Linked DNA regions of Macaca fascicularis. The protein of the gene in region 1 purifies or fractionates together with the protein of each later gene. This does not show direct contact. Links are inferred from orthologs where the notes say so. Each region holds a gene or a part of one and is shown in the gene's direction. Other genes may lie near its edges.

Evidence for each region.
Region 2: the proteins of RNF114 (region 1) and PARP12 purify together in Homo sapiens (affinity purification with mass spectrometry; 3 studies listed by BioGRID and IntAct, counting the BioPlex papers as one, with this or other methods). This does not show direct contact. The link is inferred for Macaca fascicularis from reciprocal best matches to the Homo sapiens genes RNF114 and PARP12.

Annotation. Positions count from the first base shown.
Region 1 is NC_088384.1:106,024,723-106,033,063, forward strand, and holds part of RNF114 (E3 ubiquitin-protein ligase RNF114), read left to right. Parts: intron 1-16; exon of another isoform or gene 17-121; intron 122-1,268; coding exon 1,269-1,419; intron 1,420-5,053; coding exon 5,054-5,160; intron 5,161-5,807; coding exon 5,808-5,922; intron 5,923-8,341. UniProt on the Homo sapiens protein: E3 ubiquitin-protein ligase that promotes the ubiquitination of various substrates. In turn, participates in the regulation of many biological processes including cell cycle, apoptosis, osteoclastogenesis as well as innate or adaptive immunity.
Region 2 is NC_088377.1:181,706,686-181,715,026, reverse strand, and holds the end of PARP12 (protein mono-ADP-ribosyltransferase PARP12), read left to right. Parts: intron 1-1,816; coding exon 1,817-1,892; intron 1,893-3,140; coding exon 3,141-3,271; intron 3,272-4,193; coding exon 4,194-4,345; intron 4,346-5,668; coding exon 5,669-5,994; 3' UTR 5,995-6,811; downstream 6,812-8,341. Other genes in the region: TBXAS1 (thromboxane-A synthase), read right to left, coding at 7,640-7,714.

The DNA of each region.
Region 1 (8,341 bases):
GACCTCTTTTTTTAAATGTCAGATGGGTAATGGGCCAACATCTGTAACAAGGTTCGAGGGTGGCACATCTCACACATGCACATGAACACCCAGTCCTCACGTCCATGAACTACAAAAGGATCCAGCTGAACAGTTTTAAGGCTGATCAGAGACGCTGTCTCTGCAGTGTTGTTTTTTTTTCCCCCTTGAGACAGAGTCGCGCTCTGTTGCCCAGGCTGTAGTGCACAACCACCTCTGCCTCCCAGGTTCAAGCGAGTCTTCTGCCTCAGCCTCCCAATTAGCTGGGGTTATAGGCATCTGCCACCTTGCCTGGCTAATTTTGGTATTTTTAGTAGAGACAGGTTTCACCATGTTGGCCAGGCTGGTCTCCAACTCCTGACCTCGTGATCTGCCCGCCTTGGCCTCTCAAAGTGCTGGGATTACAGGCATGAGCCACAGCGCCCAGCCGTCTCTGCAGCCTTTCCAGCCCTTTCCTTCTCAGGTCACAACTAGTTGCTTTTCCCTTTATGTTCCTGTAGAGCTTTGCCTTCACCTCTAATGATAGCAGCTCCCCTTTATAGTGCGTTTTGTACATGCTGGATACTCTGCCAGGGGTCTGCTATACAAACTGTATCCTCCCAGCAATCCTAGAGGTAGGTACTACTCTCTCTATTTCACAAAGTAAAGAATAAGATTCAAGAAACCCCACTGAAGCCGGGCTCGGTGGCTCAAGCCTGTAATCCCAGCACTTTGGGAGGCCGAGACGGGTGGATCACGAGGTCAGGAGATCGAGAAACACCGTGAAACCCCGTCTCTACTAAAAAATACAAAAAACTAGCCGGGCGAGGTGGCGGGCGCCTGTAGTCCCAGCTACTCGGGAGGCTGAGGCAGGAGAATGGCGTGAACCTGGGAGGCGGAGCTTGCAGTGAGCTGAGATCCGGCCACTGCACTCCAGCCTGGGTGACAGAGCGAGACTCCGCCTCAAAAAAAAAAAAAAAGAAACCCCACTGAGATCCCTCGGTGGCAGGGCCTAAGGCTTGAACCCTCAACCTTAACACCTTCACTGCATATCACAGGAGTTTGCATTTGTTTCTGTAGTTGTGTGTTCTTTGTAGTCCACTCCTATCCCTCAATTCTTCTGGCCTGGAAGGACTTAGTATTTGAATTGGGAGGAGAGAGCAAGTTGTTTTTTACTCCATTATCCATTGATGTCTTTTTAAAAGTTGATCCATATTTGTTTTCTTGTCTCCATGATGCGTGACAGAGGTTCTCCGTATGTCTTGTTCTAGCTTTTGCTCTGCATGCCTGCAGGAATGTCTGAAGCCGAAGAAGCCTGTCTGTGGGGTGTGTCGCAGCGCTCTGGCACCTGGCGTCCGAGCCATGGAGCTCGAGCGGCAGATTGAGAGCACAGAGACTTCTTGCCATGGCTGCCGTAAGAATGTATGTGGAAGTAATGTGGAAGAGGCCGTGTCTTTCCATGATCAGATGGGGTAAAACGTACAGCTACCATGTTGTTTCTGAAGTTAGAGCATGACTAGGTCACTAACAGCACGCGTGCATGCCAGTTACCTGTGGTGATGGCTGGGCTGGTTTGTTTTCATAACCTACTGGGTTTTGTTTCTTTTTTTAAGAGTTGGTTAAGTATATATTTTAGCTTTGAAAGCCATAGAAATGAGTTATCCCAGTTTTTTCCTATAAAAGATCAATTTTGGCCGGGCATGGTGGGTCATGCCTGTAACCCCAGCTCTTTGGGAGTCCAAGACAAGAGCTTGAGGCTAGGAGTTAAGAGACCAGACTGGGCAACATAGTGAGACCTCATCTTTACAAAAAATAAAAGTAGCCGGATGTGGTGGTATGTACCTGTAGGCCCAGCTACTCAGCAGGCAGAGGCCGGAGGGATCACTTGAGCCCAGGAGTTTGGGATTACAGTGATCTATGATCATGCCACTGCACTCCAGCCTGGCTGACAGCAAGACCCTGTCTCTTAAAAAAAAGTCAATATGAAATCATTGGATTATAGTAACAATAGCTAACATTTGAAATGCTCTTGTATAATCAGAGTCAAGTATATTTATTTTCATACGTGTTATAACTGCTACTGGAAAGGAGAAATACTGTTGTCTTATTTTCCAAGAGATATTCACAGCCTTGTTGATTTTAGAATCATTAAAATTTTTTAAATTGCAGACCATACAAAAATACACAATAATGTAGGCTTGTTCCTCATTCCAGAGATTATTTTAAAATGGTTCAATTTAAGGCCTGGCAAGGTAGTTCATGCCTGTAATCCCAACATTTTGGGAGGCCGAGGTGGGTGGATTGCTTGAGTCCAGGAGTTCTGGACCAACCTGGATAACATGGTGAAACCTCAGCTCTACTGAAAATACAAAAAACTAGCAGGGCATGGTGGTGTGTGCCTGTAGTCTCAGCTATTCGGGAGGCTCAGGTGAGAGGATGGCTTGAGCCCAGGGGGCAGACATTGCAGTGAGCTGAGTTCTCACCACTGCACTCCAACCTGGGCGATAGAGCTGGACTTTTTTTTGTCTCAAGAAAAAAAAAGTGATTCAGTTTCGAAAGCTACATAACATTTTCTGCCCTTTGACAAATTTTTACCAAAAGTTGGTAAAAACTGTAGAATGTTTACCAACCCAGTTGTAGAATTTTTGCAAAATGAGATCACACTATAATATATATGTTTCTTCAACTTTTTTCACTTGTTTAAATGTACATTCATTCCCAACTTTTTTTTCACTTTCAGTTTTTTTTTCCTCTTACATATTGGACAGCCTTGCATGTCAGTTTCATTATTTTTAACACTTCGGTATGGATGCCCATAGTATGAATATACCTTACCATCTCCTTTTCAGGGTGATTTAGTATTAGCGATGCATAGTAGGACCATTTTAATGCTGAATAGGGCTATTTTCTATATCTTAATTGGGGGCTTCACTATTGAGGCTGGGCATGGTGGCTTATGCCTGTAATCCTATCACTTGGAGAGGCCAAGGTAAGAGAATCACTTGAGCCCAGGAGTTCGAAATCAGTCTGGGCAGCATAGTGGGACACTGTATATACCAAAACAAGCCAACAAACAAAACTAGCTGTGTGTAGTGGTGTCTGCATGTAGTCCCAGCTCCTTGGGAGGCTGAGGTGGGAAGATTGCTTGAGCCCAGGAGTTTGAGAGCAGCCTGGGGAATATAGTGGACCCAGTTTCTACAAAAAAAAAATTGGGGATTTCTCAGTTTGTAGCTTAAAGTCAAGTTCTTTAACTGGAGGTGAGACAATCATCATGGTAAGCTGGAGCTCCAATCTTGGAGCATTTTTCCCCCTTTGAAGTTTACTTTTAGAAACTCAAGATACTGAATTACAGTTTCCTACTGCCTTTTTTTTTTTTTTTTTTTTTTTGAGACGGAGTCTCACTCTGTCGCCCAGGCTGGAGTGCAGTGGCATGATCTCGGCTCACTGCAAACTCCGCCTGTTGGGTTCACACCATTCTCCTGCCTCAGCCTCTGGAGTAGCTGGGACTACAGGTGCCTGCCACCACGCGCAGATATATATATATGTATACATATATATGTATATATCTCTTGTTTTGTTTTGTTTTGTATTTTTAGTAGAGGCAGGGTTTCACCGTGTTAGCCAGGATGGTCTCGATCTCCTGACCTTGTGATCCGCCCACCTCGGCCTCCCAAAGTGCTGGGATTACAGGTGTCAGCCACTGCACCCGGTCTCTTCATCTTTATTTATGCATGCATAATGTGGTTTTTGGTTTGGTTTTGTTTTGTTTTTTGAGACGGAGTCTGACTTTGTTGCCCGGGCTGGAGTGCAATGGTGTGGTCTCGGCTCACTGCAACCTCTGCCTCCCTGGCTCAAACCATCCTCCCACCTCAGCCTCTCAAGTAGCTGGCACCACAGGCATGTGTCACCACGCCCACCTAATTTTTTTTGTATTTTTAGTAGAGACAGAGTTTTCATGTTGCCCATGCTGATCTGAAACTTGGGAGTGCAAAGTGATGGTCCACCTCAGCCTCCCTCAGGATTACAGGTGTGAGCCACCACGCTCCACCCATGATGGGCTTTTTGTTTGTTTTACTGTGTGCTTTTGCTTTTCTCCATTTTCAAGATTAGTTATTGTATGGTTGGCATGCCTCTAAAAATGTTTTTCTTTCCTCCCTCTTTTCTTCAATTCTTAAAACTTTCTTTCTTTTTAGAAAACCTGTAATGAAGCATTATTCTCTGGGTTTTCTTCTCTTTCTGTTTTACTATTGCACAGCCTAGATTTTATGTGAAAGGTTGGGCTGGGCATGGTAGCTCACACCTGTTAGCCCAGCACTTTGGGAGGCCAAGGCAGGCATATCACTTGAGGTCAGGAGTTCGAGACCATCCTGGCTAACACGGTGAAACTCCATCTCTACTAAAAATATGGAAATTAGCTGGGCATGATGGCACACGCCTGTAACCCCAGCTACTCAGGAGGCTGAGGTGGGAGAATCACTTGAACCCGGGAGGCGGAGGTTGCAGTGAGCCAAGATGGTGCCACTGCACTTCAGTCTGGACAACAGAGTGAGTGAGACTCCGTCTCAAAAAAAAAAAAGAATTTAGATTTTAAAGATTATTTCTCAGAGTCTGGTGATTGATACTTTAATCAGGGTTGGTGGCTTTTATACGTTTTACCTAAATGATCACTTTTCTCTGCTGCACATAACAGAACGTGGTTTTTGGTTTGCTATAAGGAGACTAGTTTAAATGCTACTATAGAAAACTTTTAACAACATCCTAGATTTGGAACTTGTCTGTGAGCACACAGCCTGTCATGAATAGGAGCAAACCTCTAGAAGAGTTATTTTAGAGTGGAAGCGGATATCCTGATTTAGTCAAATAAAATAGCAGCCTTGTTATTAATGGGAAATCTGCAATAATCAGGGTTTCAGCCCCATCAGCATAGTCAGGAGTCTGGTGAGATTATTTGCCAGGGTGGTGTAGGTCTAGTTTTCTTTGCGCCCTTGTTTGGGACTACATTTGGCCTGTTACAAGGTCCTCACTAACTTGTGGGCTCTGATTCTTCCTATTTGAGTTCTTCCTATCCAAGATCCGGTCCCACGTGGCTACTTGTTCCAAATACCAGAATTACATCATGGAAGGTGTGAAGGCCACCATTAAGGATGCATCTCTTCAGCCAAGGTAAATGACTCAGTCTCCCCTTAGGTGGAGGTCATCTCTTGCTATTAATACAAAGAGGTTGGACACCTTGCATGGTCAGGGGTTTAGTTGTATGAATTGTTATGCTGGCTAAAGCTGATACAAGTATTTTGGGAGGAGTATGCAAGGGAGGACTCTGGTGTTCACTTCAGATGTTAGCTGAGCTATTCTTTTTTTCTTTTTTGAGATGGAGTCTCGCTCTGTTGTCTGGGCTGGAGTGCAGTCGCGCAATCTCAGCTCACTGCAATCTCTGCCTCCCGGGTTCAAGAGATTCTCCTGCCTCAGTCTCCCGAGTAGCTGGGATTACAGGCACCTGCCAGTAATCCTGACTAAATTTTATATTTTTTAGTAGAGACAGGGTTTCGCCATGTTGGCCAGGCTAGTCTTGAACTCCTGACCTCAGGTGATCCTCCTGCCTTGGCCTATTGGGATTACAGGTGTGAATCACCATGTCCGGCTAGCTGAGCTGTTGTCTTCAGAACACTTGATCTGAGTCTAAAGTGATCATCAGCGTCCTTGTCGTTACACATTCGGTGAGCTTTGCTCCTTTTGGGAGTGTACTGTGGTTGAAGTTTAATGGAAAGGTACTCACAGAAAAATGTTCTTTTTTCCTGTCTTTCACCTTCCAGGAATGTTCCAAACCGTTACACCTTTCCTTGTCCTTACTGTCCTGAGAAGAACTTTGATCAGGAAGGACTTGTGGAACACTGCAAATTATTCCATAGCACGGATACCAAATCTGTGGTAAGAGTAACCTTTTTTTTTTTCTCTTAAACTTTATTATGGGAAAGGATCAAGCTTGGAGAAAAATGATGGGATTAGTAAAATGAACTCCTGTGTGCCCTACACCTAGATTCACAGATTGTTAACATTTTACCATATTTGCTTAACCATGCTCTATAATACACACTTTTTGCTGACCACTTGGGAATAAGCTACAGATACCATGACTTTTTTGCACCCTGAATAGTTTGCACCCTGATACAGTAGTGTGTATGTCTTAAGAACAAGAGTGTTTTCCTGGAAAATTATATTTTTGTGTGTATAATCATATTCAAGAAATTTAACATTGATACAATCTAATATCTAACATAAAATTCATGTTTTAATTTTAACAATGGTAATGTCCTTCATAGCAATTTTCCCCTCCCCCCAAAGCAGAGGCAGGGATGGTACATGAGTTCTCTGGGTGCTACATTAAGTCATGTGATGTCTATTGTTGCTAACATTAACTTGGATCCCTTGGTATCCACCAAATTTCTCCATGAAGCTTTTGGAAGTAACTTCTTCGTATTTGTGGGGAAAGAGGATTTAGGTGAAATTATTAGGAAAAGGCTTATCAATCCTTGGACATTTTACTCAGATATCACTGACTGGCATGTGTAGTCTCCTTTTAAAAAAAAAAAAAAAAAACATAGGCCGGGCACGGTGGCTCACACTTGTAATCCCAGCACTTTGGGAGGCCAAGGCGGGTGGATCACTTGAGGTCAGGAGTTCCAGATCAGCCTGGCTAACATAGTGAAACCCCATCTCTACTAAAAATACAAAAATTAGCCAGGCATGGTGGTACGCGCCTTTAATCCCAGCTACTTGGGAGGCTGAGGCATGAGAATTGCTTGAACCCGGGAGGCAGAGGTTGCAGTGAACTGAGATCATGCCACTGCACTCCAGCCTGGGCAACAGAACGAAACTCCCAAAAAAAAAAAAAAAAAAAAGTATTTGTTCCATCTCAGCAATGCGTTACCTTTCTCTCAATGTGATTGACAGACTAGGTCTTTTTTTATAGTTAGGTGTATACTTCCTCTATAGTTTTGTTTTAATTTTTCCATTTATCTCATACTGCTTCTCTTGAACTGCATACTCTGTTGTATGGGCAGCCTTCAGCTCCATTGCTGTAAACAGTGGTGCAGAGATTTTAGAATTTTAATGAGCTTTTGTGAGAGTACTAGGGCAGCTATCAATGCTCATCTTAAGATAGAACTGGCCATTTTGAGAAACATATCTTTGCCTGTATTTATGTATGTTTATAAGCTAAATTCTTAGATACAGATTGACTTGGTTAAATGTTACTTGCACTCATAATTTTGTTGGATACTATTATTGCTGAACTTTTCTGGTATGGCAGCCTAATTTTCTGTCTTTTTGCCCTCCTTTGGCTTCTGAAATCCCTCTGATTATGTTGTCTATGTTGAGGCTTTCTCTTCAGCCTTTGGCCCTCTGTTCTGTCTTCCTCTTCCTCTGCAAGTTCTTAACTCTGCTTTTCTCCCTTCCCTTTGGAAGCCATCTCCTTTTCAGTCTCTAGTCCCGTCCTATGTTCTAGCTCCCCAGCTACAGCTGCCTGTCCACCTCTTCCACTCAGTCTTCTACCATCCCAGATTTCTCTCATGTCAGTCCCCTTTATCACTGTATCCTCTTTGCTGTGGGGTAGGGTTGCACCTTTAAGTGGGGGCACTTAGGTCATCTCTCTCCCTGGCATGAGTTTTCCATGCTCACTGGTCTGGTCATTTGCATGTGTTGACAGTAACCGCCACCTTCTGGCCTTTTCTCCGTGCTGCTACCTCTTCTGGAGCAGCATTTTTTTTTTTTTGAGACAGAGTCTCACTCTGTTACCCAGGCTGGAGGCTGGAGTGCAGTGGCACAATCTCGGCTCACTGCAACCTCCACTTCCAGGGTTCAAGCAATTCTCATGCCTCAGCCTCCCAAGCAGCTGGGACTACAGGTGTGTGCCACCATGCCCAGCTAATTTTTGTAAGTTTAGTAGAGAAAGTGTTTCACCATGTTGGCCAGGCTGGTCTCAAACTCCTGACCTCAGGTGATCTACCGCTTTTGGCCTCCCAAAGTGCTGGTATTACAGGTATGAGCCACTGTGCCTGGCCTGGAGCACTCTATCTTGTTCTCTTTGCCTTTCCAAATACCCAATCTTCAAAACCCAAATCAACCTGTTGCGTGAGGGCTTTTTGGCCCCATCCCCCTTACCTGAGTATTTCCTTTGTTAAGATGCATGTGAGGCTGTGTTTTACTTCCCTGGGACATCGCTCATTGGCTTATTTTCTTAGTTTTCCTCGTGCTTTTGGATTGTCTTCTGTGCTGGATTGGAAGGCCAGTCTAGGCCCCCCACCAGGCTGACTCACTTCTCTGCCTACAGTAGGGAATGAGAAAGGGT
Region 2 (8,341 bases), on another chromosome or scaffold:
GCCTCCTGAGTAGCTTGGACTACTGGCGTGCGCCACCATGCCTGGCTAATTTTTATATTTTTAGTGGAGATGGGGTTTCATTATGTTGGTCAGGCTGGTCTTGAACTCCTGATCTCAAGTGATCTGCCCACCTTGGCCTCCCAAAGTGCTGGGATTACAGGTGTGGGCCACCGCGCCCAGCCAGTATGTATTTATTTTGCTCTCATTCTTGAAGGAAATTTTCACTGGGTATAGAATTTCGGGTTGTAGGGATTTTCTCTCGGATCATTGGTGATGACCACTCTGCTGTATTCTGGCTTCCATTGTTGCTTTTGAGAAATTGCCTGTTGGTCTAACAGGTGCTTCTTTGGCAGTAATCACTCTTTTTTCCTTTGGCTACCTTTAAGAACTTCTGTTTGTCTTGGAGTTATGCATCCTCACTAAAGTGTGTCTAGGTATGTGCTTTTTATTTATCATGGCTGAGATTCTTCGCGCTTCTTAAGCTGCGGATTGGTGCGTCTCGTCAGTTCTCTTTGAAAATCGCCTCCACTGTCTTCTCTCTCCTCTCCTAGAGCTTCACTGAGGTTCTGATTATATTCCAGTTCTCACTGTTCTCCATGTCTCAACTTCCTTCCTGCATTTTCCATTTCCTTGTTGCTGTGGGTCACATTCTGGACAATTGCATTTCACATATCTTTCAGCTTACTGATTCTCCCTCCAGCTGGTCTAATCTGCTGTTAAGCCTGTCCACTGCACTTTTATTATTAAGGATTGTACTTATAATTTCTGTAAGTTCTATTTGGTTCTTTTTTAGATCTTCCAGGTCTTTTTATAGTTTTCTGTTCTTTACATATGTTTTTAAAGTTTGTCTTTTTTTTTTCTTTAAACCTAGGAGGAATAATTGTTTTTAATCTGTCTGATAATTTCAGCATCATAAGTCTTTGTGGGTCTGTTTTTGGCTGATTCTTGCTGCTGGTAGGACCTTGCTTAGTTATTTTTGAACTGTGCCATTTTCCAAGGAAAGTTATTTGTGGGAGTGCTTTGAGGCTCAGGATGAAGGTATATGTTTCATGCCAGCAGAAACAGAAGGTAGATCTATTTAGAAAGAACAGTGTATTCTGAAATTTAATAGGAATGATTTGTAATTATAGTTTCACAGTCCTTGTGTCTGAACCCTTGAGCCATATGTCTTTTGAACCGCTTTTATTTATTTATTTATTTTTAGAAAGATAATGTGATGCTTGTATCACGTGACACTTTATATTTTAGCACATTAGTATTTCTGCAGTAAAGAATATGCATAGTCAGTTTAAGAAGGATAGATACAGACCACAATGGCCTCTTACTAACTTCAGTCAAATTTCTATTGCCACATGAGTTTTGATGTCACTTAGGTTTTTTAAAAAATGTTTTATTTCATTTTTTCTCCTGGTTTTCCTGAGCTGTATAAAAACAGTTTTTAAATGTCAATTATACCTCATTGAGGCCTTAAAAAAATGTCTTTAGAGCTCTTAGAATTTCAGAATTGTGGATAAAGGTTTATGGCCCTGTGTGTACTGTTTTAACCACATACTCCATCCCTTTTGTCCCTTTTGTGTGGTAGTTGGGACACAGGCGAGAAATAGATCTCTCAGGACTGTTTGGCTACATAGGCAAAGATAAAAGTGCTCTCATGTTGTGAGTATTATGTTAACATTCTTCCTTGCCTTCTACCTGCTCTTAAAATATGATACGCTGAGACTGAAGACTGGTGATATTGGCTAGCAGAGACCACCTATGGTAGATTTGCTTTGTGTAAGAATAAAATGTCTACGTGTTTTTGTTTACATTTTTGTAGCAATACCAAGTTTCCAGGCCCGAAGAGCATCCCAGACTATTGGGACTCCTCTGCCCTGCCAGACCCAGGCTTTCAGGTAGGGGACACGTGTGCCTGGGGTTGAACAGGAACGTGTTCTGTAGAGGTGGGTATGTGTGAACAGACTGTGCTATTCCTCAACACTGAAGAAGCTGTAAGGCTGGGGCTAATTGGGGCAGGAGGGCAGTGACAGATGTGGGCTTTTTGTTTTTGTTTTTTTTTTTTTGCAGAGGGTTTTGTTTTTTCACTGCCCAGGAGATGGTTGTGGCTCTGAGGGGAGGGGTTGCCTTATGGAGGGAGGAGGATGAGCTGTGAAATTTGCTAGAAAGGGCAGAAATAAGGAGCTTTTGGGCTGGGCTTAACCAATAAATACCAATTTTACTAAGCGAGAGAAGGAAGAGAAGCCTGGGGAGGACCTGAGTCTGATGGACATTTGGAGGGGGTTACTGTCAGGAGGGAAGACATTCACGACTAGCAGACAGGAGAATGGACAGTGAGTTCGGCAGCTTGTTGAGGGGCTCTGACCAGTGGGAGCTGTGCTGAGTGCAGGAGAGTACGCAGACTCACATCTGATGGTGCCTGTCTGCGTGAGGCACCTGGGCTGACGTCTGCCGGCTGGCTGGCCGCGGAGCACTGTGCAACTCAGCTTTACACCATGATGGTCTCTGTCCTGGGAGGACTTACTGAGCTTGTACAAGGCACATACAGATGCCAACAGTGCAGGCAAGAAGTGCTGAGAACCTGAAGGGGTTCAACACTTTTGTCTAGACAACAACTCTGTGGTCCTTGGACCATGTAATCCAACCTGTGTCTTTGGCCTGTGTGGGACAAAAAATAGAAGAGCAGGGACATCCAGGGGATACCCAGGATGGTGGCTTAAGCATTACATGTCTGTCCTTTAGATTGGTTTCACAGTGATAAGGAGCAAAGTGACTACAATTGCAAACATAGTAAATCCTCAACGTCATCAGTAGGTTCTTGGAAACTGACTCAAAGTGAAACAACATATTGTCTGATGAAACCAATTTCCCATATGCTAACTGACATAAGAGTTAAGTTCCTATGGCATGCAGTTTGTTGTTTTACTTAAAATTGCAGTTTCCAAGAACCTATCAACGAAGTTTCGTGAGGACTGATTGTCTCCTGTGCCTGGAGAGACCATGTCATCAGGGAGGTGGGAGTGTGGTTGCTGCTGTCTGGGCATTTGTGCTTCTGCAGTTCTAATGTTTACAAGAAGCCTTGGGAAGGGACTGATTTATATTCTGCACGTTGACGATAATGCATTAAAAACATTTACCTCTTGCAGAAGATCACCCTTAGTTCTTCCTCGGAAGAGTATCAGAAGGTCTGGAACCTCTTTAACCGCACGCTGCCTTTCTACTTTGTTCAGAAGATTGAGCGAGTACAGAACCTGGCCCTCTGGGAAGTCTACCAGTGGTGCGTTGGGGCTCGCTGTTGGTGGGCTGGTGGCTTTGTCCCTTCACACTGCTGGCTGATTGCCACATGTGGCCCGGGTTTCCAGGAAAAGCAGAGTGACAGGGCTGCCGTGTGCTGGGAGCTGTGTGTCTGCTGTCCGTCATCCGCTCCCCCAGGGCAGTGTGGTAGCACATCCCACTGTAGAGGTGAGGGCACCGAGGCTCCCCAGAGCGTACCACCTGATCCTGTTCATGAGCACTGGCAAAGCCAGCACTCTCACTTCTCCATTCTGCCTTCCCGGAGACCAGTGGGATGGGTCAGTACAGCCCACCACACCCTTAGCCCCAGGAACACAAGGCTGTGGCTGGAGAGCAGGGGTCTTAGGTTCATGCATGAGGACTGGTTTGTCCTTGGACGCCCACTCACTTGTCTATGTGGGGAGGAATCCTACAACAGGTCACCATGGCAGGCTGGGTCTTGCTGACCTGTCCCCACATGGGGTTGGGGCAGTGTCATCTGTACTCTGTGCACAATGATGAAGTCTGGGAACAGAGAGGAGAAGGATGGGCACCCACTGACCGGGGCCTCAAAACTCTCCTACAGCATCTCAGGGCTCAGCTCCATCCAGGAGCAAGGTGGGGATGGGGTTGGGGAAAATGGTACCCGTTTTCCAAGGGCTGCTCTGCTTTTGGAGTCCAGGGAGCCGCTGCAGTCTGGAGCTGTGGAGGGAGGGTTTTCACCCCGCTCCCACGATCCCCCTTCTTTCCCACACCCTGGCTTGTGGCTGGAGCCTCACAGGCCTAGTCTTGGTAGCCTGTGACCTGCATCTCCTGGTCTCAGGACACTTTTGGAATTTTGGAAAAATGTGTTGTTTTGTATCAGGCCGGCTGTATTTGGTGGCCGGCACACTCTTCCCGCTGCACACGTTCTTCTGTGATCCTAGGCAAAAAGGACAGATGCAGAAGCAGAATGGAGGGAAGGCCGTGGACGAGCGGCAGCTGTTCCATGGCACCAGCGCCATTTTCGTGGATGCCATTTGCCAGCAGAACTTTGACTGGCGGGTCTGTGGTGTTCATGGCACTTCCTATGGCAAGGGTAAGTCATGATTGGTCTCCACCAGCAGAACCCGTGTTGCTTCGCCCCTGCATAGGAACAGACTGCGAGAGGGCATGAGGGGACCAGCCTGAGCCAATAAGCAGGTTCAAACTCTGTGTGTGGTCGTACCTGGGCATGGCTACCAGCCACCTCCTTGCTCTTGCTTCTCTGGGCATGACCAGGAGCTTGACCCCAGACGTGGGCAGGGTGGCCTGCCTAGGCTGGTGTGTTGCTTCCTTGTGGAGCAGAGGCCCTGGAAGATGGTGACAGAGATGGAAGAGGAGAGGGGATACCTTCCCAGCCCTGATCAAGTCCCTGACTGTGCCTTTACTATTGATTTCCTTAGAATAGAAACCAGAAACCCTCAGAGATACTCACGTAAACATGTATTCTAGCTATCCTGTGAGTTATCTGAGTGTTTTCTTGTCTTCTTAGTTATTTTTAAACTTGCCAAAGAAAGTTTTAAAATGTTATTTCTTTGGAAATAATTCCAAATTCAAGAAAATTGGAATAATAATAGTAAAGAAAAACTCTTTGGGTACATTTTACCTGGATTCATTGGTTTTAACATGTTGCCACTTCTCTCTTTCTCTCTCCCTCTCTCTCTTTCTGAACCATTTTCAGGTAGGTGGCGTATATTGTCTCCTTTCACCCTTTAACACATCCCAAGAACAGGACATTATCTTCTGTAACCACATTATGCTTACCAAGTCGAGAACATTTTCTGCCCAGCAGTCCATGTTCCAGGTCCATCAGTCAGTTCCCATCTGAGGTAGCAATGGCGTGGGGTCAAGATGGACAGCAGCCAGTGGTAGACTTGTGAATTCAAATGTATAGGTGACAGCTTCCAACTCAGGTTTCCATTTGACAAGGCTCATAATTCTATTCATTGGGCTGCCGGAGTCTTCAGACTGCTTCCACATATGGGATCTCATTCGTTTTCCATGACAACCCTGTGAGGTTGGGCTGAACAGCCCCATTTTATGCCTGAGGAATCTGAGGTTTTAGGGATTAAGTAGTGACATGTCCAGAGGCCTTTAGGTTTTGTGGGGCAGATCTGGAACTTGAAAGGAGTTTGTGCTCTCAGTTTAGTAACTCCTCAGATGCTGCCACTCAGAAGGGTGTTGGTGTCACTGATGCGTGTGACTTCATGAGGGAGAGTGGAGACATGGCACAGAGGGAGGGAGGGAGGGAGATGCAGGGTGGAAGAGTAGAGGCCCCTGGTTTTGCACATCACCAGGACGCTGTCCGGAGTGGGCTGACCCTTCCTGGCTGCGGGCCCCTCCACCAGGCACCCAGCTGAACCCTTGTGTGTCATTTCAGGGAGCTACTTTGCCCGAGATGCTGCGTATTCCCACCACTACAGCAAATCCGACACACAGACCCACACAATGTTCCTGGCCCGGGTGCTGGTGGGCGAGTTCGTCAGGGGCAATGCCTCCTTTGTCCGCCCCCCAGCCAAGGAGGGCCGGAGCAACGCCTTCTATGATAGCTGCGTGAACAGCGTGTCTGACCCATCCATCTTTGTGATCTTTGAGAAACACCAGGTCTACCCGGAGTATCTCATCCAGTACACCACCTCCTCCAAGCCCTCGGTCACGCCCTCCATCCTGCTGGCCTTGGGCTCCCTGTTCAGCAGCCGACAGTGAGTGCACCAGAGTGTTCCAGGCCTTTCGCCTGCTCTGCCTTGAAATGGCAATTTGGGCCTTTCCTTTTCTTTTTAAACAGAAAACTTTTAATGAACTATTCATTTAATGTTGACCTCTCAATGAAGTTATATTATTAATCTATTGCTAATAATGATTTTTACTTTTAAGTCACTTTTGGGCTCACTAGTGGACTAACCAGAAGTGATTGTAGTTGAGTCCAGTTTTTGCTTTTTAATAATGTGTTGAAGTTTTAGTTTTTACTCTTTGTTGACTTTGCTGCTTATTGGCACCAGGGACAGAGTTTCTAGATACAATTTTATGGATTGGTTTTAATTTTTATGAGTTTGTCTCTGCAGTGATTCGGTTTTTCAGAGTCTCATGGCATCATAGTTTTACCAGAATGACACAGTAGCCACTGGTGGAGGACAGCCCAGGGGTGGCATAGTCACTTCCGCCTGTTGCTCTGACACCAACCCAGGCAGCTCTGCTGTGGCTTCTCCTGGGCTCTGGCATTAGTTGGTCTGTGTCACATTGTCAGAACAGGTGGCTGCTATGTGGTGCCATCGAGTCCCTGCTGGTTCCCCTTGTCCTGGTAGGGTCACCCATTGCCGAAGGAAGTACATCCACTTGGCAGGTGACCTGGAGGAGTAGCTTCCCCGAGGACCCCCAGACTTGGCCTGTGAGTGCCCAAACCCACATTTCCTAAGCACACTGGACACCCTCTGAATGCGGGTTTTAATAAACATCCCCGTGAGATCGAATACCTGTGCCACACATGTCACAAAAGAGTATGGAAATAAAAGAAAATTTATCCAAAGTGGATGAAGACTGAAGCTCATTTGTCTGCGTCTATTGATTGAGCACCTGCTGGGTGCCAGGCGTTTTTCTGAGAGTCAGGATTGCCTTTGTTCATTTGGGCTGCTGTAACAAAACACCATCGACTGAGCGGCTCATAAACAGCAGACGTTTATTTCCCAGGTTTGGAGTCTGGAAAGTCCAACCTCCTGTTTCCTCATAGATTCAGTCTTCTCACTGTAACCCCACACGGTGTAAGGGCCTCTTTTATAAGGCACTGAATCTCATTCATGAGGGCTCCGCCCTGGTGGTCTCATCACCTCTACTTTAAATACCATCACCTCAGGGGTGAGGATTTCAACATTGGAATTTTGGGGGTCATAACATTCAGACCGTATCGGGGCTGTGACAGAGCTGATGTCACGGCTTGGTGAGCTATGTGTGGGTTTATTATGAAGACAATGAAGCTGAAGGTTCAGGGCCCCTCACTTGCTGGAGCCCCTCCCCAGGCCCTAGGAGGGGCCCTAGCAATGTGCTCACGTGGTCATAGGTTTTGGTAAAATTTGCAAACATTACGTATTTTTTTTCTTTCCTCCAATTCGTAGGTAAGTTTCAGGCCCCATAAGACCCAGGTTCACCATTGAGCAATGTGCTGTGCATGTGGAGAGTGTGTTGTGTGTGTCCCCGACATGTGGCAGTTTACAGGAGCCTCCCTTCTGGGCATTGGCTGGTTCTGGTCCTGTTGGCAGAGGGGCTGGCAGCCCTCCCTGCTCGGTCCTCACTACCTGCTTTTTGCCCAGCCTCCACCTTCCCGAGGACATGTGTCTGCTGGCAGCTTGCTGCTTGGGCTTCAGTTGGCTTGTCTGTATTTCTCAGGTCCAAGGTGAGTATGAACCATTTTTCCATCTTTGGAGTGATCTGAAACCTTAACACAGGCAAGTACGGTCAAGCTGGAGGAGATCCAAGGTAAGTGACCAGAGAAACAGCAAGAACGCAGCTTCACCCAGCAGCTGGGTCAGCCACGTGGTTATCCGTGGTATGATTTTCAGAACCCCGCCAAATTTCCCTCGCAGCCTGACTGATCCTGCCATTTCACTCACTGCTTTTTCATTAAGTCATTGGTCCTGCTATGGTGTAGTTGGGCAGGGGGCAAAGAGGTGTCAGAGAAAACCATTAAATCACGTCTGTTGCTCACATGTAAGTGAACTGATCCTATGCTTCTGAATCATCTGGGAGCTGGGGAGATTCGGGGAGCAGAACTGGTTCATTGAGGGTGTAGATGGGGAGAGCGGCCAGAGGGATCTGGTGGGAGGTGCTCAAATGCTCTGGAAAAGTCCACTGAGCTGTGAAGACTGCGGCAGCCATGACTGGGTGACCTGGGAGAAAGCAGGTTAGGAAGAGCAACTCCTTGGACCAGCAATGCTAGGGAGGGTGGGAGCCATGTGGCCAGATTGCCTGATGACGGGGAGGGAGCTGTTCCTGCCGGTGCAGAAAGGGCGGACGTTGTGATGGGAAGGGGTCGAAATGATTGTGACTCTCAAGATGTTTGGTG